2 linked regions of the Arabidopsis thaliana genome follow. The protein of the gene in region 1 interacts with the protein of each later gene in a pairwise test. Each region holds a gene or a part of one and is shown on either strand. Other genes may lie near its edges.

What was found.
Region 2: the proteins of AT3G01690 (region 1) and AT1G02410 interact in a two-hybrid assay, tested with the Arabidopsis thaliana proteins (one large-scale study listed by BioGRID).

The regions. Positions count from the first base shown.
Region 1 is NC_003074.8:251,727-260,817, reverse strand, and holds AT3G01690 (alpha/beta-Hydrolases superfamily protein), read right to left. Parts: upstream 4,524-9,091; 5' UTR 4,066-4,523; coding exon 3,764-4,065; intron 3,500-3,763; coding exon 3,463-3,499; intron 3,362-3,462; coding exon 3,125-3,361; intron 3,031-3,124; coding exon 2,983-3,030; intron 2,901-2,982; coding exon 2,439-2,900; 3' UTR 2,122-2,438; downstream 1-2,121. Other genes in the region: AT3G01710 (TPX2 (targeting protein for Xklp2) protein family), read left to right, coding at 1-66, 131-189, 281-346, 441-504, 582-827; AGP11 (arabinogalactan protein 11), read right to left, coding at 1,427-1,837; SEOR1 (sieve element occlusion amino-terminus protein), read right to left, coding at 5,572-5,943, 6,038-6,334, 6,474-6,735, 6,831-7,078, 7,170-7,312, 7,390-7,499, 7,572-8,014, 8,354-8,449 and 1 more.
Region 2 is NC_003070.9:489,115-495,563, forward strand, and holds AT1G02410 (cytochrome c oxidase assembly protein CtaG / Cox11 family), read left to right. Parts: upstream 1-1,745; 5' UTR 1,746-1,892; exon of another isoform or gene 1,893-2,119; 5' UTR 2,120-2,185; coding exon 2,186-2,265; intron 2,266-2,373; coding exon 2,374-2,689; intron 2,690-2,792; coding exon 2,793-2,845; intron 2,846-2,971; coding exon 2,972-3,044; intron 3,045-3,133; coding exon 3,134-3,238; intron 3,239-3,328; coding exon 3,329-3,409; intron 3,410-3,492; coding exon 3,493-3,648; 3' UTR 3,649-3,849; downstream 3,850-6,449. Other genes in the region: GA2OX6 (gibberellin 2-oxidase 6), read left to right, coding at 32-277; AT1G02405 (proline-rich family protein), read right to left, coding at 979-1,383; AT1G02420 (Pentatricopeptide repeat (PPR) superfamily protein), read left to right, coding at 4,569-6,044; ARFD1B (ADP-ribosylation factor D1B), read right to left, coding at 6,061-6,145, 6,236-6,375, 6,449-6,449. UniProt on the Arabidopsis thaliana protein: Exerts its effect at some terminal stage of cytochrome c oxidase synthesis, probably by being involved in the insertion of the copper B into subunit I.

The sequences.
Region 1 (9,091 bases):
GGGTCAAGAGCTTCTTCTAAACCAACCAAAGACTGCAAAACTCCTCTCCGGACACCATCAAACAAGGTGACTGCATTCTTTAAACTGTGTTTCACTCAACCAAGTGCTTATGCTCTTGTGATGATTGCAGGTGTCTGCAAAGGGAATGGTTGAAGACTCCTTGTCCACACCTTTATCGAGTAACACAAGGTAAAAACTGAATTAACTCTTAGAAAACTTCTTTTTACTTCCTTCATTCACGAGTGGTTAGAGAAGTAATCAGGTGTTACAGTAAGTGCAGAGGGAAGATAGCTCCTAATTCTTCTGCCAAGACAGGTCGAGGAAGATGGAATTTCCTCCCTGCGGAGTAAGAAGAACTGATCTTCATAAGAGTTTACTCAATTCAAAAATGTATAATGTGTACGTACCTTTTTAACCAAGTTATTGGAAAACAAAAGCAGGACACCGAGCTGTTTTACACCGTTTGGCTTAAGAACAGAGGAGAGAGCAGAGAGAAGAAAAAAGGCAAGAATAGAGATATTTTTGGTTTCTACGCTTTTGTCTTGTCACTTACCATCATTTAACTGGTTCTTGTGTTTCAGAAGCTAGAGGGGAAATTCAAGGAAATGGAGACACAGAACCAGAAGGCGGAGGAGAGGAGTGTGGAGAAGGAAGAGAGTAAACTAAGGCAAAGGCTATGCTTCAAAGCGAAGCCACTTCCAAATTTCTACAAACAGAGACCAAAATCAACAGACCAAACTAAGAAAGTAAGCTTACTTTCACTAATCGCCAAATGTATGTGTGAAGTACTAAAAGAAAAAGATAGTAGCCATCGTTTCTGTGTCTGAGAGTTCTCTGTGTGGTCTTTGTAGGCTCTGTTACAGTAGCAGAGAGGTCTTACAGAAACTCCCTATCATCATCTTTCAGAGAGATATTGCGCTGACTTAGCGCCTGTGGCTGTGGGGAGAACTATCAAAACCGGATTGCCTCAAAAAAGGATTAGTTTGGAATTGTTGACATACTGTATTTGGTTTTATTCCAAGAAGGAATATTGAATTTTACTAGATTGCATTGTATGAATATTTGTAAACTTTGTTTATATATGATTTGAAAACACAAAATAAGAAAGAAAGGGGGCATTCCGAGAATTGAACTCGGGACCTCTCGCACCCTAAGCGAGAATCATACCACTAGACCAAATGCCCTCTTTGAAAAATTTGTTTTTCATTTAATTTCTAAATAAACATTAATAAGTTCACAATCATCAAAAATTACGTAATCAAAAAAAACATAGTACAACAACGGTACGTAATAATAATAACTCCATTCAATCTCTTGATTAATATAAATCACTGTATATAGTATAGTTAGTTAGTTAAAGAGATACGGCCTCATCTCATAATGTGAATCTTATGATTCCGTCTCAAGTTTAATTAAAAAACAAAACTTAGAGAGAGAAGATGAAGAATCCGGCGGCGGCGACAGTGCCGGCGATGGAGAGCTTCACATTAGTCGTGGCGCCACTTTTGGGTGACTCGGCGGCGGCGGGTCCATCAGATGAGGGTCCGTCGGAGGAGGGACCATCGGCTTCGGGGGTAGGAGCGGGTGGGGAGGAGACGGTGGGTGCCTCGGCGGAGTCACTGGGGCTGGCTGCAGAGTAGTCGTCTTCAGGGGTGGGTTCCTCAGCAACAGGGGATGATGCTTTCGGTGCGGCGGCGGAGGATTTGGGTGCAGCGGCAGGAGCCTTGGTTGGGGATTTGGTTGGTGAGGCGGTGGGTGCAGCTGAAGGTGCATCGGCGGCGAATACGGTGCCCACGGCCAAAGCCAAAAGGGCAACTACGACAAATAGACGTGCCATTATTTTCTACTTTTTAAATATAGTTATAGAGATTAGTAAGAGGAGGTGTCCAAAGCTAAAGCAGTATATTTTATTTGTTTGAATACTGCAGAAGCTTCAGATGAAGGAAAACAAGAGGACAATGAGATGGATTTATATGTTTTGAAATTTGAGAAATTTTAGGAAAATCGATGGATTTGAGAAGAAAATGGGCATCCATTAGCCTTATTTTAGAAGTGAGCTACTTTTTGTATATATTAATTTTTGTACGTAGCAAAAGATAGCGAGATCCTAAAAATTGGATTTCTATTAAGAACAAACGATTGGGCCATGAATTTAGTTCAGGCCCACATGAGATGTGTGATCTTTGTTTTGGAACTTTCCTACTTACCACAAACACTAAAAACTCATCTAAAAACAGAGGATGGATATTCAAGCCCACCACAAAAGGTTGTTGATTCAAAAGGAGATGGCGAGAGAGATCCCAAATTGCATAAAAGATTACAAATCAATAATATGAGGAGCGACATCCACATGTTATTTTGTTCGGTAAATAGAAACAGTTATGTACTCTTTTCATCTACATACGTATTATACGTGTGTGAGTGTGAGTGTGTGGTTTTTACTCGGAGCGAACTCTATCCAACCTATCCACACTCTTCCTCCCCCTCTCAATCTGGTCAACGCTCTTCCGAGTCTTTTCATGGCAGTCAACGCTCCTCCGCGAGCGATCAAGTTGATCAAACGAGATCTTGAGCTTGCTGCTGCTGCTACTCATCTTCGACTGACTCTTTGGTGGCTTCTCTTTCTCTCTACGCTCTGTGCTCTGCCTCGGCTTCACTCTCCTGTCCATACTTCTCCTCGGGGGCGCATCTCTCACTCTCTCTGATTGGTCGCTGCTCATCCTCGGACATGGTAATCTCTCTACTGTTGCTATGAACTTCTTGAGGTGTCTAATGTATTCAGGGTAGTGTTCAAGATCACAGTGGTTCCCTCCTTTCACCCAGAGCGGCTCGTACTTGTCTTTGCAGAGTTCCCATAGTTGTTTCCCATGAGAACAATCCACTACCTCATCCGAAGTTCCCTGCACATATTTGAAACTGTTTGGATCCAAAAAGCTTATCAAAAATTCAAACGAAAATGTATCTATCTGAAACCTGACTTACATGAATGATGAGAACCGGGCAATCGACATATGGGATTTTGTCGATATTCTGCGGAAAAACACACACTCACACACAACAAGCTTCTTACATTACAATTTGGAGAATGTGTAGGATTAATAGAAAGAATTGGTACGTGGTCTACCTTGTAGATGTCGAACCAGTAGGTTTTCTTGACGGAATACATAACTCTTAAACCGGAGAGAATGGGGCTGTGAAGGACGACGGCTCTAAGTTGAGGCAACCGGGAAGCAAGATCTAACGTAGGTCCGCTGCCTACAGATTGGCCGTAGAGGATGACACCTTCCTGCTTAGAGCCAAAGGTTTCTTCAAGACACTTATAAACAGCTTCGATATCAGCATACGTGTTATGCTCACTCGGCTACAATCAATCATTTAAGAGAAAGAAAGATTTTTGAGAGTTGGTCCTAAAACTCATAATGGATCATCAGACCAATCAGATTGATGGGGTAAAGGACAAACCTTTCCAGTAGATTGTCCATACCCGGAGTAATCGTATCTGCAACATCACAACCAATAATATCAAAGACTGATTGATTCCAAGCAGATCCTAGCCCAAGTTTCCTTTTTTATTGGGGTGGTGAATAAACACTCCAAACATAAACAGAGCAAATACTAGAAACAGAGCTAGAAACGTGAGAATCAAAACAGGGCAAATCCTATACCAAATCAATCAAAAGAAGCATACAAAGATAACATTTTTAAATCAGCATCATAATAATAAAATCAATCGAATTACAAAGGGAGAGAAAGAAAAACAGACCCCATAAGATTAACCTTGAGATGGATGCTAAGCTCAATGAAGAGCTCATACATCTGTCCCAGATCGGCGGCGTTGCCATGGGAGTAGAGGAGCGTGGAGGTAGCCATCGGATGCCTCACGTACATGCCCACGATCTCTGTGCCTCTCCTGGTCCGAAGCTTTACGATTTCTACGTTTTCGCGGTGGGGGAAAGGGCTGAGAAGCAACAGTCCGGTGAGCTCGTCGGTCACCACCTTGTAAGACGGTGGACTCGGCGGGAAGAAGGCAAACTTCGCCGCCACCGATGACGTCACCCCTCCCATCTCCTTCCTTCCTCACTCCGTTTCTCTCTACACAGCTTGCATTTGGGTTTGGTTTATTGAGAGAGCTGCTATGTTTTGAGATTGAAGCTTTTCATCTCCTTGGGAACAGAGAGAGAGAGAGAGTATTAAGCAATACTAACAAAGTGGCTTTTTTAACGATTACTAGATTACTACATTAATCTTAATTGTTGCTTTTCATAAAAATTGATTTACGCTAAAAAATACTTAGAAGTACTTTTGACTTAAATAGGGGTTCGGTATTGGCTATAACGTATCTATGAGAATTAACGTAACAAATTATTTATTATGCGTAGTAATAAATTATAGGTAATTTTATCTCAATTCATCCCTAATATCATAATCTACATTTTGTACTTTTACATATTTTTAACTTATATTTGACATAATACGACGGCTAATCGAATAAAAATACAACTTGCTCATTTGAAAACTCTTTTGTACCTAATTCTCATAGATATGACATGAGCCACCCCTAATTTATGTATCAAAGTCAAGCAGAAGTGGACAGACCATTAAAATTAGCCTTTGTCCCCCACAATAAGAAGGGTTTACATAGATTTCATAATTCAAAGAGTACAATAGAGTTACAAACAAAGTGTTTTCCTAAGATAGACAAGGTGGACAATGGCATGTGGGATGATATGGTTGCTATTTAGATAGAACCATGCAATTCATTGGTTATGATTAGACATATGCCATATCTCTTTTGACATTTACTTAACTTTTTGCCTTTATTATTTAGACTAATCCATCAAATTACTTTGTGTTAAATACTAAAAAAAGAATGAAAGTTACAAATTTTGTGTCTAATTATAAAAACTAGCCCAAACGATAAGAGTAGTAACAATCCATTCTTTATTTGAAGATGGACCACACATGAAGATATGGATCATAACAAGGAAAATAAAACATTATATTGACGACATGAGGGACACATTGAAATGCTATAATTCACTGGACAAGAAAATGAGATATCAACAACTAACACAAAAAACATTTATAAGAAGATAAGCCAATAAATGACAAATTGATCAATTAGAAAATGATAAGAGTATATAAGTAAACCATTAGAAACTGGAAAGAATAAAAAAGAGTATGCTGTGGTGTGCTTCGTGGGGGTCCATTTACTAAAGTGGGATATATAAACATTATGAGAAGAAAGAAAGCAAATAGTTATATTTTGAATTGGTCTAATTTGACATATTCAAAATTGTTGTATTCATCAGGGTTAATTTTATTAACAAAATAAATTCAACATTTATCTATGCTATTAAGAGAAGAAATTGTTAATTATTGAAAATTATTAGGAATACTTCAATCGAACATGTCCCACAAAGGCCAAACCACACACATGGAATGACCAATTCTCTCTCATACAAAGATATTGAAATTCAGAAATTATTTATGAAAAACTATATAGAGAATTCAAATTACGTAAAACAAAAAGAAAAAGCAGCGGGAAGAGACGTGAGCTTATTGCATCATTTAGAAGTTGTAGTTCTCGTCTTCGTGGAGCTTTTCATCGTGACAACAAGAGAAGCTCATGTACTTCTCCATCGGACGCTGACACTCGAAGCAATTCATCTTCTCCGGAATCCGACCGCTCCGAGCAGTGATGTGGAAATCAAAGTGGCCGCAAGGTTTTCCGGTTTCACGGAGGACCTCATCGTGGTGGTGGTCGGACATTGCTTTGGTGTAGCCTTTGGTCGGGACGTGGGTTTTCCAGGTCCGGTCGTAAACACTCATAGTCCTCTCTATGGCACCGTGAGCGATCATCACTATCTCAGGTCCTTTGCTCAGTAGTGCCCATCCTCCAAGCTTGTCGTAGCTTAGTATCTTTTTGATTCCTTGCATCACCTAATCAACGTTTTCAAACACACAAAATCATTCATTAACCAATTGAACCGAACCGAACCGAAATAATTGAAAACCCTAGCTAGTCAACTCTTACATCGTCGTGATCATCGGCTTTACCGAGTTGAATCTTGGAGTACAACATGCTCTCGAGCCTAGTCCAGAAGAACCACATCAAGGCAGGTTCGGCCCAGCTATGGCTCAGGTTTTCAGACCTGATTACTTCACTGATACGCCTGATCTGTTCCCTGTGGCTATGGTTTCGTTTTCCGACGTAAGCCATCTCAAGGTTCACGTTGGAATCTTTGGCCGTTGCTTTGGCCGCCATTGTGAATCTCCTTATCCAGTCCAAGTCATCTCCTCCGTACAGGAAAATGTAATTATCCGGTTTTATCTGCAAATCAGACCCATCATTGTTCATTAATCACGCCTCGTTCTTGAATGAATGTAATTTAGGTCAAACCCTGCCTGCTCTGTTTCTAGAGTTTCCAGGCCAATCATAAAAAGAAAAAAGGATGAGACTTTTGAAATACCCAGTTGAAAATGACAGAGTCGATGCCGTCGACGATGAGGTTAAGGGAAAAGGTCTCTCTCCTCCAGAGCTCTTCCTCACGAGATCTAGTGAAAGGGAAAGCTTCAGTGCCCCAAATCCAGATCATATGAAGCGCATTGAGGCTAGCCTCGTTGCCTTGTGGATCAATCACCACAAGTATCGGCTTGTTCATAAAATGCCATCTCCCTCTCATAAACTCCACCACATGTCTCTCTATCAGCTTCGGGCTATCCACTGAATACCTGACCCCCACAAAAAAAAATAACTTCCAATTATATTTCTCCATCTTTCTTTACAACTACTAGAATGTGTGTTTTGAAATAAATGTGTTAGATACCATGGCATAGGGTCACGGAGATCCTCAAATTTCTTCTGTAAAATCGGAGATCTTTCAAAATCTTCAATAGGATCCACTACTGGAACCCACACAACCTCGTAAGGCATATGACTCTTACCATCGACCCCAACCAAGTTCCTCCTTGACTCTGTGTAGATTTGCTCGAAAATCGATAGCTCATCTTGTAGTATGTTGAGATCAGAGATGAGCAGCAACACTGTCTTCCTCCTCAACACATCCAAGTGAACCTGCAACATTCATATAACAGAACAGAGATTTCTTAGTTAAAATCTTTTGTATTGATGAACCTTTCTATAAAAAAAAACCTAACACGAAAACCTTTCTCTTGGTCAAACCATCTTGCAATGGAGTGATGTGGGGTTTGGGATGAACCAAGGCCGTGAGAATCTTCATGTTATCAATGTGAGTGGTGTCGAATAGAGAATGCAACACCTTTAAGGACTCTGAGCTCCTCTGCTTCTCTGCAAATTCCAGTCTTTGTCAGTAAAGAAACAGGGTGATGAATAGCTGTTGAATGGGACGGAACAAACAAACAAACCTATATGCCGGTAACAAAGCCTCAAGGTCTCAGCGAGATGGTCATGTATGTTCTTAAGCTTGTTAGCTAACATCGATGTTTCCCATAAATCCATTTGCGTGTTCATCATCCTGATAAATAAAGTGTACGCGTTAGCGTGTGATCAATAGAAAGATCGATTAAAACAAAGTTAATTATCATACTCATGTCCCATAGCAGTGATCATGTTGATCTGAGAAATGCAAGCGATGACGCTTCTTATGGTCCAATAGACAGCAATTGGGATTGTAGAGAGGATTCTCGACAGCTGAGGAACGTCTGGTGTAATGTACCGATCAGGTAACTCGCTGAGTTCCACTACACATGCCGTGACGCTCTTCATCTCTCGGATGAGATCGTTGAGCCCTTGGGACACAGACTCTAGGGTCACTCTGTTCTGCACAGGGACGAGCTTGAGCATAGCTAGGGACTTAGCAAGCTGGTTCTTTGAGTAGAATTGGACCAGAAGCCAAAACTCTCCATAGTTCAACGCGAACGCTGCTAGAGTCAGCACGAGCTTGCCGTCCCACTGGAAGCTCGAGAGGTGTTCGAACACGGACATTGTGATTTCGTGTGAATCAGATCCCGTCAGAGACTTATAGGCTATCTGAAAAGAAGAACAGAGAGAGAACCACGTAAACAGTGTATTGCTTCTGTAACAAGTTATTGCTGGTTACGTGTACAACAATCTTTAGAGAGTGTGGTTTATAAGAGCATCTATAACCACAAAGATTGATATCTAGGGGTAGGTGGAAACTGCGCAACCTAACCGAACCAAGATGGTCAACATATTTATATTTAGACTGAATATCCTGAAACTGAACCAAAACACACCGAATTTAGCCCGAACGAAACCTAATAACTTGGATGTTATTTTGGTGAGCCAAAAAAGTCTAAACAAAGAATCACTTGAATTGTGGCAAACAAAAAGTGAATGTAGCTATACCTCGCAGGCAACACGATCGATAGCATAGGAGACACTATCAAGAACGCTCATCATGCTTGACTGCATCAGTTTATCCTCAGTGGGCAACGGAAGCATCTGAAAAATCAAAGCAAGTACGTAAAGGAACATGATCATACGTACGTACTAAGAACGAAATTGATTGTGTGTAGGAATACTAACGGAGGCGTTGGTGTCTTCAGAGTCAAGAGTGGCACGATCGAGAATATCTTCAACGAGAGAGAGAAGGCCACGCACTTGGACTTCGCGAGCATCTGGGGAGTGAGTTTGTTGAATCAGCTTCAGCATCATGCTTTCGTCCGATGACATCGCAAGTCCCGTCGCCGGTATCATCTCCATGGACGGAGTTTTACCGGTCGTATTCTTGTGACCCGCCAGTTGCTGAGCGTGCTGGGACTTGATCAGCGACTCCATTCTTGGTTCAGTTTGCTTTTGTTAGAAGAAGAGGCTGTCTTTATTGGTTTGTAGTTTTGCTATGTGAGGTTAGCCTTAAATACTCGTTTCTCCCCCTTAGTTACGGTTGGAAATTGAGAATCGACTTCTTTGCTTCTGCAACAATTAAATTAAACATACAAAGAATATCAATTATATAATCTTGTTTCTTTTTTGCTTTTCTTTTTTTGGTGGCTTATTATAGAAGTTTTAATGAGATATATAGTTCCCGTCCACGTGAATATCGTTAGCACAATAAAGTATAGGCCTACTTTACACGAATATATA
Region 2 (6,449 bases), on another chromosome or scaffold:
AATTAATTAATGAAATAATCTTTGAAAATAGGCATTGACGAATGGGAGATTCACTAGCGTGAGGCATAGGGTTTTAGCAAACACAGCAAAGAAGCCACGTATGTCGGCGATGTACTTTGCAGCTCCACCGTTAGAGGCGAAAATATCACCGTTGCCAAAAATGGTGTCGCCGGAAAATCCAAGACGTTATAATTCATTCACATGGGGTGACTACAAAAAAGCTACATACTCTCTCCGTTTAGATGTCCCTCGTCTCGAGTTTTTCAAGACTTTATAGATTATATTCATACCATTGAAAGCTAGATTTTTTATTTTTTTTTTGCTTGTTGAAAAAGAAAATATGATTGTTGGATTGTTACAAATATATACCATGTGAAATGTATAGATTTAGATGAACAAAAAGAAAAAGAAAATTGAGTTTTGGTCATTTACTTTGTAATTTACTAATTTCACATGTGAATCAGTGGATCATTGCAATTTCTAAAGAAAAGCTCTAAAACATTCCAGTAAGAGAAATTATACCTTTTTTTTCTTCAACTACAAGTCTACAAGTCATGCATCATCAGTACATCACAATCATAAAAAACGACTTATGATAAAAATAAAAATAAACTTGAGCTTCTGATCGGTAGAAACTATGATCCATGAAACGCGTCCGATCACAATGGACTCTTTGGTCCACTGCAGTTGTACTCTCGATCATAATTACACGAATTAAAACCTCTTTATACAAAATCGGCTATTACTTATCTAGGTATGCTTGATTTCATTTGAAGGTTTTATAAAAGGTTGCAGGGGACAAGTCCAAATAATATGAACCACATCTGACCCTAACTATAAAAATTAATCCACAATCGATTATAATTATTAAAAAAAACTGTATCTAAAGCATACGCCAATCCGTTAAAAGTAAACAAAATCTTTATGCAAACCTTATAGAAGTTCGAAAACAACAACATAAATAATTTCTGATCATAATCAAAGAATCAGAAAAACCATAACTCCAAACACGAACAGCTTCATCACCGAAAAGCTTTCTACTGCCACAGCCGCTCCATAGTAATTTTCAATAGGGTACAAGTCTCCCGGCGGATATGTGAATACGTAATTAGGTGGAGGTGGAGGTGGCGGTGGCGGCAGAGGCGATGGTGGACAGGAAGATTTCTTCGGGGGTGGTGGTGACGGAGGAGGAGGGGAGGGTGTACAAGAAGGAGGTGGCGGAGACGGAGGCGGAGGCGGTTGATTTTGGAGACAAGGTATGCAGTTAACGTCAACTTCGGCTGAAGAATCTTCGGCGTTGATTATGATCGGAGATGCGAGGATCACGATAGCCATGAGGATTGTGGCCGCAAGATCCGTCGATCGGCGAGTTTTAGGCGACATGTTGTAACAATGTTTTGGGCTTAGACTTGTGTATATAAAAAGATGATCAAACTTATGGAATGTATATTAGTGAAGTTATTTGTGGAAGATTATTACAGAGAGATCCATCACAATAAATGAAATAATTTCGTAATAACATCGGAGATATGGAAATCTTAAATGACAGCAGATTTGTCCAAAATTAGATACATGTAATAAACACGTTAAATTTAAGTATGAAATGACAATATTCCTTGTATACTCTAATTTTCATTTGGGCTTTATTGGGCCAAATAATATGGGCTTACAATTAAAAATTCGACTGAACGGATGTGAATAATTTTTTTTTGAAAGAACCGACTATCTTTATTCTTACCAGACCACAAAGACAAGTCGTTGTTTGACTTGTTGACTTTTTTTTTAATCCACAAGTTTTTTTTTTTTTGTTGCGTCAGATTTTTTGTTTGTTTTCCAGTGACGTCTTTGATCTCCCTCCCGCCGACGACACAAGCACGCCGTCTGGTTTACCTGTAAGTCTTCTATTCTCTTCTTTTCCTTTCGCGTGCTTCCTCTTTGATAGGTTACATTCTTTAATCGATCATGGCATCGTTCTTGGCCTCTGATTCGATTACGCTCGGGTGATTTTTTTTTTTTCCCCCGATTATTGATCTCGCCGGAGGTTGCGGAAGGGAGAAATTGGGTTTCAAATTTTCGAAATTTTCAAGTAATGTAATCTGGGTTCGTGTTTATTGTGCAGATAAGTGTTTTTGTGTGGTGTCTGTGTCTCACTGTGTCGATAGATTAAAATAATTTCTCTTCGGCCATGTCGTGGTCGAAAGCTTGTAGAGGAACTCGAATTTCTTCATATTTAGAGAACCTTCATCGAACATCTCAGTATCCAAGGTAATTGAATTTTATGCATGCGCATGAACTGTTTGTTAAAATTCCTCAAAGAGAAGTTCTATCAGTTTTATAGAATTAAGTTTGTGAGAAATGTTTATGTCGATGTAGGACTATTTTATGCTCTCGTTATTACACTCATGGAGCTTGTAAAAGCAATGAGCATTATCTCCGAAGCAAGAGAGTATTTTGGGGAAGCTCTTCTTCATGGAGCTTGAATTCTCACTCTGCTACTGCTAAATCGATGTTAGATAGTGCCCATCGCCAGTATTCTACTCACTCTCCATCGGAAACCAAATCACAGAAAATGCTCTATTACCTCACCGCTGTTGTCTTTGGTATGGTGGGGTTAACTTACGCTGCTGTGCCATTGTATAGAACATTCTGCCAAGCTACTGGATATGGAGGTACTGTTCAACGCAAAGAGGTATATATCGTTTTTGTTTCTTCCTTTCTATTTTTATCCTCTTGAGTTTTCAAGTCTACTTAGTGGCTCTTCCTCAGTCTTTTTGTTTGGCTTTATACTACAGACTGTTGAGGAGAAGATTGCTAGGCATTCAGAATCTGGTACCGTCACTGAAAGGTGTTTATTTCTCTGTTCTTAACACCATTCTTCTTTATATGTTTCTTAACACCATTCTTCTTTATATGTGTTTATAATGAACTTGCTAGCTTACTATATTCTCTACTATGATTGTCTGGTAAACAGGGAGATTGTGGTGCAGTTCAATGCTGATGTTGCAGATGGGATGCAGTGGAAGTTCACTCCAACACAAAGAGAGGTTTAGACTTTATATCTCAAGAAGAATGTTGAGACGAATTAGTGTGTTTTTAACTGATATGTCTTTTTGGTTTTGGTACTTTCTTATAGGTTAGAGTAAAGCCAGGAGAAAGTGCACTCGCATTTTACACTGCTGAAAACAAAAGTTCAGCTCCAATAACCGGAGTCTCGACATACAATGTCACTCCCATGAAGGTATATATATTAGCCTTGGTAGTGGATCCTATTAACTTCCCATAGAACATAGATTGGTCGATTCTCAAAATCTTATATTGGTTTCTTCAGGCAGGAGTTTATTTCAACAAGATACAATGTTTTTGCTTTGAGGAGCAGCGACTCCTTCCTGGAGAGCAGATTGACATGCCGGTAACTACTCTTTTGTTCTTGGCTATATTCTCCTCAGATAAAATCAAGAGTCCATTAAAACCTATAATTTCTTGGTTTTGCAGGTCTTCTTCTACATTGATCCTGAGTTTGAGACTGATCCAAGAATGGACGGAATCAACAACTTGATATTGTCTTACACTTTCTTCAAAGTGTCAGAGGAAAATACTACAGAGACGGTCAACAATAACAACTCTGTTCCAGTTCAAGAAACCAATTAAAAAAAGTGTCCATGTTTTTTAAGAGCTACAAAATATCTTGTGACACAACCTTATGCAAGAACAGTCTCTCTTAGATTTAATAACCAATTTCCAAATTCGGAAACCAATGTTCAAAACCCACGGAACAGAAAAAAGAAGAAAAATGTTGGTAAAATGAATTCACTATAAGCTCTTCTCTTCGTTTTTTTTTCGTTAAGTTTATAAGGATATCGGTTTTTACTGTCTCTTTGGCTCTGATTGAAGAAAAATTTAAATATCGTCTGTAGATATTTTATGGGATGCTTTGAGAATGGGCTTCGTTTTAATGGGCCTCCTCTGCAATCATTGTCCAGAGTCGAGAAACCACCTCTTCTTCTCTTGTTCTTTCTCCAAATCGATTTGGTCCCAACTCTCTTCAAGCAAAGGAGAGATATGAAAATGAAAGCTCTTACGGCGAACAAGTTTTTCCGATTGAAGAAGAGAAGAATCTAGAAGATGAAGACAACACTAGTGCACCAAACAGTTTTGCGCGTCTTGAGAGGAAACAAAAAACTATTCAGAGTTCAGAGAGAGTCAACCCCCAAACGAGACTTAAACGATGAGCCCACTATAATTTTATAATTTATGGGCCATCAGGCCCAAATGATCAGTAGTAGTTATTATTTGACTTTTGACATGGTGGATTTGGTTTAACCACCAAACCGAACGAGTAAAACACTATTGGATTGGGTGATGATATCCCGGTTTTATTTGGTTAAAATCACAAAATCCTGATTTTGGTTCGCGGCTTGATTCTGCCGCTCTCTCGTCTTTAACCTAACTAAAGACGTAGAATGATTCTGGTTATTGAATTAGTTTGATACAGAGAGAGCGAGCTTCGGTTTTTCTTCTCCGATTTGGAACCAAAGCTCAGATTTTGGATTTTGTTAGACGATTTCCAAATGATGATGATCCTCAAGCCTTTATCTTCTCACCACGTTTCCAATTTCCGTCTCTCTGTATCGTTTCTTCACAGCGTGGCACTATCGGATGCGAAGGTTCCTGTAGAAGAAGAAGGCGATGACGCAGAAACTGTTTTCCGGATGATAAATGGATCAAATCTGCAAGTGGAATTGAAGGAATCGTTGAGCTCTAGTGGAATCCACTTGTCCAAGGACTTAATCGATAGGGTTTTGAAAAGGGTAAGGTTTAGTCATGGGAACCCAATTCAAACCCTAGAGTTTTACAGGTACGCTAGTGCTATAAGAGGGTTTTATCATTCTTCGTTTTCTCTAGATACAATGCTTTATATTCTCGGTAGAAATCGAAAGTTCGATCAAATTTGGGAGCTTTTGATTGAGACTAAGCGTAAGGATCGATCTTTGATATCTCCAAGGACGATGCAAGTTGTGTTAGGTAGAGTTGCTAAGTTGTGTTCCGTTAGACAAACTGTTGAATCTTTCTGGAAGTTTAAGAGATTGGTTCCTGATTTCTTTGACACGGCTTGTTTCAATGCTCTCTTGAGAACTCTTTGCCAAGAGAAGAGTATGACTGATGCTAGGAATGTGTATCATAGCTTGAAGCATCAGTTTCAGCCTGATTTGCAGACTTTTAATATACTTTTATCGGGTTGGAAATCATCGGAAGAAGCGGAAGCTTTCTTCGAGGAAATGAAGGGAAAGGGGCTAAAACCTGATGTGGTTACGTATAACTCTTTGATTGATGTGTATTGCAAGGATAGAGAGATTGAGAAAGCTTATAAGTTGATAGATAAGATGCGAGAGGAGGAGGAAACTCCCGATGTTATAACTTATACAACTGTTATAGGTGGGTTGGGGTTAATCGGTCAGCCTGATAAAGCTAGAGAAGTTTTAAAGGAAATGAAGGAGTATGGGTGTTATCCTGATGTTGCGGCTTATAATGCTGCTATTAGGAATTTTTGCATAGCGAGGAGGCTCGGGGATGCGGATAAGTTGGTGGATGAGATGGTGAAGAAGGGTTTGTCTCCGAATGCGACTACTTATAATCTGTTTTTCCGTGTTTTATCGTTGGCAAATGATTTGGGACGGTCTTGGGAGCTGTATGTGAGAATGTTGGGGAATGAGTGTTTGCCGAATACACAATCCTGTATGTTCTTGATTAAGATGTTTAAGAGACACGAGAAAGTGGATATGGCGATGCGGTTGTGGGAAGATATGGTGGTAAAAGGTTTTGGTTCATATAGTTTGGTTTCAGATGTGCTTTTGGATTTGCTTTGTGATTTGGCTAAAGTCGAAGAAGCTGAGAAATGTTTGCTTGAGATGGTTGAGAAAGGTCATAGACCGAGTAATGTCTCGTTTAAAAGGATCAAGTTGTTGATGGAGCTAGCAAATAAGCACGATGAGGTTAATAACTTGATACAAAAGATGGCTATTTTCAGTACAGAGATTCCGCGTTAACAACCAAGACACATTCTTACATTCTTTCAGCATTTTTCAACAGCCAGTCGAGTCCTTCATGTAAACCATCACCAGAGAATGCACATGAGCTCTGGACATGCCTAGCAAGCAAGAATCAAAAAACAGATCATCAGAAGAATCGATCATAATCGCAAAATTAGAGTCTTGAAAGGTTTTTCTTATCTTCTTACCAGTTTCTCTGCCAGTTTTTTTGACGAAGAGAAGTGAGATCAAGCTTGTTACTGATCTCAGAAGCAGACATAGCACCAGGAACTTCATGCTTGTTTCCAAATACAAGAACAGCCACATTGTCCGGTACACTCCCTTGTATCTGTTATACACGGCATCAAACATTAGATTATTTGACTTGCTCAATGTTTAGAGAAGTCAGGTTTGTTTGTTACC